Linked DNA regions of Arabidopsis thaliana. The protein of the gene in region 1 purifies or fractionates together with the protein of each later gene. This does not show direct contact. Each region holds a gene or a part of one and is shown on either strand. Other genes may lie near its edges.

The links.
Region 2: the proteins of PEX3 (region 1) and AT5G17510 fractionate together in Arabidopsis thaliana (co-fractionation; one large-scale study listed by BioGRID). This does not show direct contact.

The regions. Positions count from the first base shown.
Region 1 is NC_003070.9:17,981,713-17,985,638, reverse strand, and holds the start of PEX3 (peroxin 3), read right to left. Parts: upstream 1,907-3,926; 5' UTR 1,689-1,906; coding exon 1,675-1,688; intron 1,495-1,674; coding exon 1,333-1,494; intron 1,243-1,332; coding exon 1,052-1,242; intron 979-1,051; coding exon 848-978; intron 741-847; coding exon 670-740; intron 566-669; coding exon 529-565; intron 464-528; coding exon 336-463; intron 249-335; coding exon 33-248; intron 1-32. Other genes in the region: RACK1B_AT (receptor for activated C kinase 1B), read left to right, coding at 2,371-3,249, 3,561-3,662. UniProt on the Arabidopsis thaliana protein: Involved in morphology determination of peroxisomes, but not in import of peroxisomal matrix proteins. May act as a docking factor for PEX19 and be necessary for the import of peroxisomal membrane proteins in the peroxisomes.
Region 2 is NC_003076.8:5,770,494-5,774,419, reverse strand, and holds the start of AT5G17510 (mediator of RNA polymerase II transcription subunit-like protein), read left to right. Parts: upstream 1-2,024; 5' UTR 2,025-2,076; coding exon 2,077-2,555; intron 2,556-3,271; coding exon 3,272-3,902; 3' UTR 3,903-3,926. Other genes in the region: RCP1 (root cap 1 (RCP1)), read left to right, coding at 1-122, 258-347, 801-902, 992-1,110, 1,206-1,268, 1,342-1,403, 1,542-1,624.

The DNA.
Region 1 (3,926 bases):
TGTGTTTATCTTAGCAGATAGACATTACTTACCTGATGAGTACTTCTCGAGTCTCAACCATGAGTTGATGAAACTTGGACACAGCTTCATCAGAAGAGTCACTTGTGGTTCTTGAAAGCTTTGTGTCTTGAGGCATCATTAAATAATCAACCCAGTGATGTGGGCTTCCAGTGCTCATAAACACATCTACAATCTGCATCACGGTTTCTTGAAGAACTCTTGTGGTAATTACATCCTTTAACTGCTTTCTGCAATTAAACACACAAAAACATATTAGAGTTTTTCCAACAATAGTCAAATTATAAACGATCTAGATACGAATTTTTGCAATGTACCCTTTAAGGACTTCCTCGGCTGAACCCTGCATATCTGAAATCAAACTTGGCATTGCATTGGTGACAAGAAAATCAGCACTCGACAAAAACTTCTGTTCATCATCTCTATCAATGAGATCTACCTCTTCCTGCAAACAAAAAGAAACAAATTTAATAGATACACTGTTGAAAGCTCACAGGGCAAGCAGATCACAGGACAAGCGGCCGTGGCTTTAAAAGGTAATCTGGAACTATATCAAAGAAAGATAGGTGATTCCAGAGTATTAGTCCACAGATAGGTCAAATGCATAATCGTTATCGCAATTAAACACAGCTACTAGAGACATAATTATACAAGTTCTTAACAGAACAACCAGTGAGTTTCCCCGAGAAATAGCTTGTTGGGGATGAGATAAGCAAAGTACACTGAATCATACTTGCGAGCAAATGAGAGCAGTAAAGAACATGTGCAGTATCGTTTAATAAACAGCAAATTCTCCAATACAGAGAAGAGGGGAAGCATATTATCTTACAAGTAAATGAGAGCTGCCAAGAGCTCGAGCGGTGTCAACATACAAATGTCTGCCTAAAATGTTGACTTGAACCCTAATGTATAAGCTAAGCATTGTCACAGACCACAGAGACAAAACCATCCTCGTGAAACCTGGCAAATAACATGAATATACAGGTAAGAAACAGAATTTGATAGAGTAAGAGTAGGTGACTGCAGTGCATACTCAAAATCTTGAGCTCATCCCAGAGCTGAAGTTTCTCAGGTGGACTCAGCATTCCTTTCCCTTGGTTCAGTCTGTCCATAACATGAGAGACATCGATCTCCTCGCTGATACGGATACTCAAAAACTGCATTGCGTGAGGCAGTGTGGTCGAATCCACAATCATCTGAATACTCTCGAAATGTGCTTTCATTCTAAACAAGAGTACAAACAAGACAGGTCCGTTAGAGAATCCATAAGAACTGAAGTCTAAAGGATCAGTTTTTATGAGCACAGAACTTAACTGGGTTTTGATGATTTCGTCATTTTCACGCTCGTGAGCGAGTTCTCGTTCCAAATCAGCAAGCCTACGAGTATGGGAATTGTATAGTTTGTAGAGTAAATACCCACTTCCCAAACAACCAGCCGTCACCAAGACCTTCCTTCTATGCTTCCTCCAAAAACCCCTAATTTATTCCACAAGGTATTGAATCAATTAAAAACCCTAACTTTATTCACCAAAAACCCTTCCTAAGGAATTGGAATTAGTGTGCTAGAGAGAGAGAGATAGAGAACGCAAAACACTAAATTTCGAATTTTCACGAAAACAGTAAGCAATTACAAAGAAAGATGAAGCGAACAAGAACCTAACGAAATCCATGGCTGGTGAAGCTTTTACTGAAGTCGAACCCAGAGATACATAGCTGAGAAAACACGTAGAAAGATGAAGATTCCCGAATTGATTCGTTCGGTTTGAAAAGGAGATAACTTTGCAGGCGAGAGAAAGAGATGGTTGATGTGATCGATTTCAATTTAATCAATCACTTCATCTTTTTCTTCTCCGGAATTCGGACATGTAAAATTATATCTTCCACAGGGACAGTCGAAGTTGTGTTCTTAGTTCTTACAATAAAAGTTGAAATGGCCAAACTCGGTTTGTTTACTTTAATTGAACCGACTTTTGAGTCTATTTCAATTTTTGACAATAACTTCTCGGTAGAGTTCTCATGGGGTTTGCCCAAAAGAGAGAAAAAAAAGTTGTCATGTCATGTACTCATGTGGTTATCAAATTGACTTGTAACAAGCTATACCAATTCTGGTTAAGCGTTCCAAACAGAAAGATATAAATCTCGGTTCCATAATTGTCCCAACATGAAACCAAGTTGGGTAGAATACCGGGCCTTAATGCTGGCCCAAATGAAGAGACCCAAACTATTGACAAATGAAAACAAAGAACCCTAATTATCTCTAACTATAAATACTCTCGGTTTCTCGTTACCTCCATTTTGCCCTCTCCCATTTTTGTCGCCGAAACCCTAAATCTCGACCTCAAACCCTGAACCATGGCTGAAGGACTCGTGTTGAAAGGCACAATGTGTGCCCACACTGATATGGTCACCGCCATTGCTACACCGGTCGATAACTCCGACGTGATTGTAACTTCGTCGCGTGACAAATCAATCATCCTCTGGAAACTCACAAAGGAAGACAAGTCATACGGTGTTGCTCAGCGGAGGATGACTGGTCACTCTCACTTCGTTCAAGACGTTGTTCTCTCCTCCGATGGACAATTCGCTCTCTCCGGATCTTGGGACGGTGAGCTTCGTCTCTGGGATCTCGCTACCGGAGAATCTACTCGTCGTTTCGTTGGTCACACGAAAGATGTTCTCTCTGTTGCTTTCTCTACCGATAACCGTCAGATCGTCTCTGCTTCTCGTGATCGTACGATTAAGCTTTGGAACACGCTTGGTGAGTGTAAGTATACCATCTCTGAAGCTGATGGTCACAAGGAATGGGTTAGTTGTGTTAGGTTTAGTCCTAATACTCTTGTGCCAACTATTGTATCTGCTTCTTGGGATAAAACTGTGAAGGTCTGGAATCTTCAGAATTGTAAGCTTAGGAACACTCTTGCTGGTCACTCTGGTTACTTGAACACTGTGGCTGTGTCACCTGATGGTTCGTTGTGTGCCAGTGGTGGCAAAGATGGTGTGATCTTGCTTTGGGATTTGGCTGAAGGGAAGAAGTTGTATTCTCTTGAAGCTGGCTCTATTATTCATTCACTTTGCTTCAGTCCCAATAGGTACTGGTTGTGTGCAGCAACAGAGAATAGCATTAGGATTTGGGATCTCGAGAGTAAGTCTGTTGTTGAGGATTTGAAGGTTGATCTTAAGGCTGAGGCTGAAAAGACTGATGGTTCTACTGGAATCGGAAACAAGACCAAGGTATCTATTTCTCCTCACTCTATCTTATGGTTAATTGTCTAGTTCTAAGTTCTGTGAATTAGTTAGCCGTTGCCTTAAAAGATGAGATTTTCATAAAGGAAGGTCTGAATACTCTCATGTGAAGTTAGTTCACAAGATTTGATTGGTACGTAAGAGAGTAGCTAACATTAGATTGAGAAACCTGGTTTTAAGTTAGCTCTAGTCTCTGATTTCTTAGATTGTAGTGTCTGAAGTGATTCCATATTGATTTGTTGGTTACTCTTTGGTCTGAGGTGGTTTATATATGTTCTAATGTGGAATGTAAAATGCAGGTGATCTACTGCACAAGCTTGAACTGGAGTGCAGATGGAAACACTTTGTTCAGTGGATACACTGATGGAGTTATCAGGGTTTGGGGTATTGGTCGTTACTAGAGAGACAAGAAGTTTCTTTATTCTCTCCAAATTTTTCCATCGACTCTAAAGTCTTCTCTTCTGAATTAGTGTTTTGAGGATTTATTTTTTGTTCTTTTCTATTTTCAGAATCCACAAATGTGATATTTTGATACATTGATTTTGTTTCATATTTGTTTTCTTACACTGAGTCTGAGTACACGGCGTAGAATCTGATTTGAAGTTGTTACTTGTATCCTCTAGAAAGTAGAAATGGCTTTAGGTTGATGACTAACTGTATAACAG
Region 2 (3,926 bases), on another chromosome or scaffold:
CAGCTGTTGTCACCATCGGTCTCATTGTGAACTGTTTGTACTATTTCGGTAAGCTTAGCAAAACTGTGTGGCAACTGTGGGAAGACGTTATCACTATTGGTGGACTCTCCGTTCTTCCTCAAGTAATCTCTCTTTACTACTCTTTTCCCTTTTTAAGTTTTGGGTTTGCTCAGTGGATTCCATTGACATGTATTCCAAAGGCATTAGACTAGACACTTGTTTTAATTAATTCGACACTTCGAATTTGAAAATTGCAGATCATGTGGTCAACATTTGTCCCTCTTGTACCAAACAGTATCTTGCCTGGGACAACTGCTTTTGGTATTGCTGTGGCAGCTATAATCATGGTAAGCTTTCAAAAACTTTTTACTTTCCCCCCATAATTTTATCTGTAAGTAACGTGTTGACATTGGTTAGTCATATCAGTCACTTTTAGCCTCTAGGAGATTATCTCGAAACCTTTTTAACAAGTTTTCATATTATTAGCTTGGGTAATATTGTAACCATTTGCATTGAGCTAAGTGTTGGATGCCGAATCTCTTTCATTGCAATTTCGCTTCAGTCCTCGTGTTGTTATTGGGCTTTATGAACAAAAAAAACTATGTCAGGAAATAGGAGTTTTCTTTTTTATAGAAAAAAAAAATGGTGGCCTTGATGCTTTTTCTCCAAGTCTGTATTAGGATTCTCTGACAACTAATTCCTGGTTTCGTAGATCCTTCAAAACAACTGTTAAGATGTGTAGTTGTTTATATGGATAAGTGTTCTTCTTTTCTCTTAACTACCTACTGGTAAGAATGCAGGCTCGAACTGGGAAACTTTCAGAGAAAGGTGTTAGGTTTGTAGGGTCTTTATCTGGATGGACAGCAACTCTTATGTTCATGTGGATGCCAGTTTCCCAAATGGTATAACAACTCATTTTTTCTCTCGTTCTTTGAACTTTCTCCTAATTGCTCTTTCCCTATTGGATATCTGATGTTCTTCTACACTTCAGTGGACAAATTTTCTAAACCCGGACAACATAAAAGGCTTATCGTCAATCACAATGTTGCTCTCGATGATGGGAAACGGGCTTATGATCCCTCGAGCACTATTTATCCGTGATTTGATGTGGTAAATATAAGCTCTCTCAATTCGAAACCTTTCAGCTTAAACTATATTCACCCGTAGTAAAAAAACTGCTTGATATTCATTAAACCATGACGCAGGCTCACTGGTTCGCTATGGGCAACTCTCTTTTATGGATATGGAAATATTCTTTGCTTATACCTGTAAGAACCCTTGCACACAACTCTCTTTTGTCACAAGTAAATGAGTTTATCGATAATCCGGTATTCTCCACAGGGTAAATTGCACCAGCCAGTCATTCTTCGTGGCAGCTACAATTGGTTTGATCTCATGGATAGGTTGGTTACTTCACAGATACTCTCTCTTACATTATCATCGTTCCATTTTTGTTTTCCACCATATATTCAAGTGTGAGATGTTCATAAATCACTCTCTGAACGCATTTAACCGTTTCTTCCCCCATTTGTATGAAACAGGACTGGCTTTGTGGAGAGATGCAGTGGCTTATGGTCACAACTCGCCGTTTAGATCTTTGAAAGAACTTGTTTTTGGACCGTAATGAATGAATGTACACGCCATAAACGCCCTTTGTTCAAGCAAGTCCATAGAGATTACATGTATTTTCATTCTTTTTTCCTAAGGGTTATAAGACAACTACTCTGTAATTTCATGTATTTTTTTACTTGAATCATATAGTAAAATAATGTCTGATATCAAAAATAACTTTTGATATTGAACGGTCAAAAATCAAAATCGAAACATTCTCGGTTCAGCTTTGGCTATCGTTTTCCCGGGTTCAGCTTTGGCTATCGTTTTCCCGGTTTAGTCTGATTAGTTGGCTTAATATTTGTGGTCTTTAATCATAAAAGCCCAATTAGATTGGCCCAGATAAATCACAAGCCTCTTTCTTCTCTCACTTAGACAAGACAACCATTATTCACGGCGAAGAACATTTCCCCGAAAAACCCTAGAATCCCAAAATAGAATCCCTAAAAGAGAAAGAAAGCAAAAATGGAGGACACGAAGCCACCATTGGGAGGTAACAACAATCCTCAGCAGCAGCAGCAACAACAACAACTTCTCTATCAACACCAACTACAACAACAACAGAGACAACAACAAATGCTTCTATTGCAGCAATTGCAAAAACAACAACAGCAACAAGCAGCAATGTCTAGATTCCCGTCGAACATCGACGTGCATCTCCGGCCACCGGGGTTGATTCAGAACCGACCCATTAATCCTCCGCCTCAGCAGAATCCTACCCCTAACCCTAATTTGGGACAGCAGACACCGAATTTTCAACAGCAGCAGCAGCAGAATGTATCGAGTCAGCAGATGATGCAGCAACAACAACAACAGCAGCAGCAGCAGAAATTGATGAGGCCATTGAATCACATCGAGCTTCAATGCGCTTATCAGGACGCTTGGCGTGTTTGTCACCCCAATTTTAAACAACCCTTCTCTTCTCTCGAAGATGCTTGCGAGAGGTTTGTTGTATCAAATGCAAATTATCAAACTTTATATACTTTTGATGAAATTCATCAAAGCCGCAGCAATTAGTATAGTTTTCTAGTCTCAATTTAATGATATCAAACATTGATCTATCTATTAATAATTGAATTTAATGATCTATCACGTTTTTTTGGGTTTTGAGTTGTTATCTCCTTAGGAGTCGCCCTGAGGCTTTCTGTTGTCCTATTTGGTAGTAGAATTAGAATGATACTATATGTTAGCCTTTTGGTCAACTATAGATTGTGACTATAGATTAAAAACGGGATCTTTGTCTACTGGAAGCATGAGTTTCTTGAATAGGTATCTTTCTGAAAAAGGTAGATGCTGCATCTGTTATATTTTCCCTGTCTATAAGTATAAGAGATCCTGTTCTTCTCTCTGAGTTTGATGTGGCATCTCTGCATGGTCCTCATTTCTTTGAGATCAATTTGGAATTACGTCCTGTCTTTTCTCGTAAAAGCTATAAATACCTCCTTTTGAGTGTTGAGAAACATTACTGAGTTCCGTGGATATTACTAATTATTCTTGCTATTTTTGTTACCTGTCTTCTTCCATATCTGTGTGAAAAGGTTCTATTGACGTAATATTAGGTTTATAATTGCTAGATAGATCCATTGCCTTGTTTGAACATTCTGTTTCTGGTTTACTGCGGTCACTACTCACATTGCGTGTATTCTTACAACCTGTGCAGATTATTACCTTATCATGTCGTAGCAGATTACGAAGCAGAAGAGGATGATAGAATCCTTGATTCAGACCCAACAGGCCAGGCCTTGTCCCGCTCTCAACAATGGGATAACAACATTGCTGCGAAAGTTGCTGAATTCACGGCAACGTTTGAGAAGCAAGCACTAGCTTTTAACATAATAACTCGAAAGAGAGCTATGGGAGAATTCAGATCTGAGGAAAGGTTGATGGTAGAACAAGCTTTGCTACAAGATGAAAGGAAAGCGTTGATTGAACTGAAAGCAGAAATGGATAGGGAGAAGGCTGGCCGGGAGGCTCAGGAGGCTAAGCTGCGGATGGCGGCTTTAGCTCAAGCTGGACAGTCTCAATCTCATGCTGAGATAATGGCTCGTAACCCATTAAGGGCTAATGCGGTTGGAAATCAGGGCAGCAATATTCAGCTTAGCCACGAGATGGGAGAACAGGGACGTAACATGAACCCTGATGAGATGATGAATGGATGGGGAAACAACAGTCAGAGAGAGGACAAGGAACCTTCAGAAGATTTCTTGAATGATGAGGAGAATGAGAATGGAGAGACAGGGGAACAAGAAAACTGGCGTGAAGCAGGAGAATTTGATTTGAATAGCCGGTAAATGACCAAGGTGAAGACTATTTGC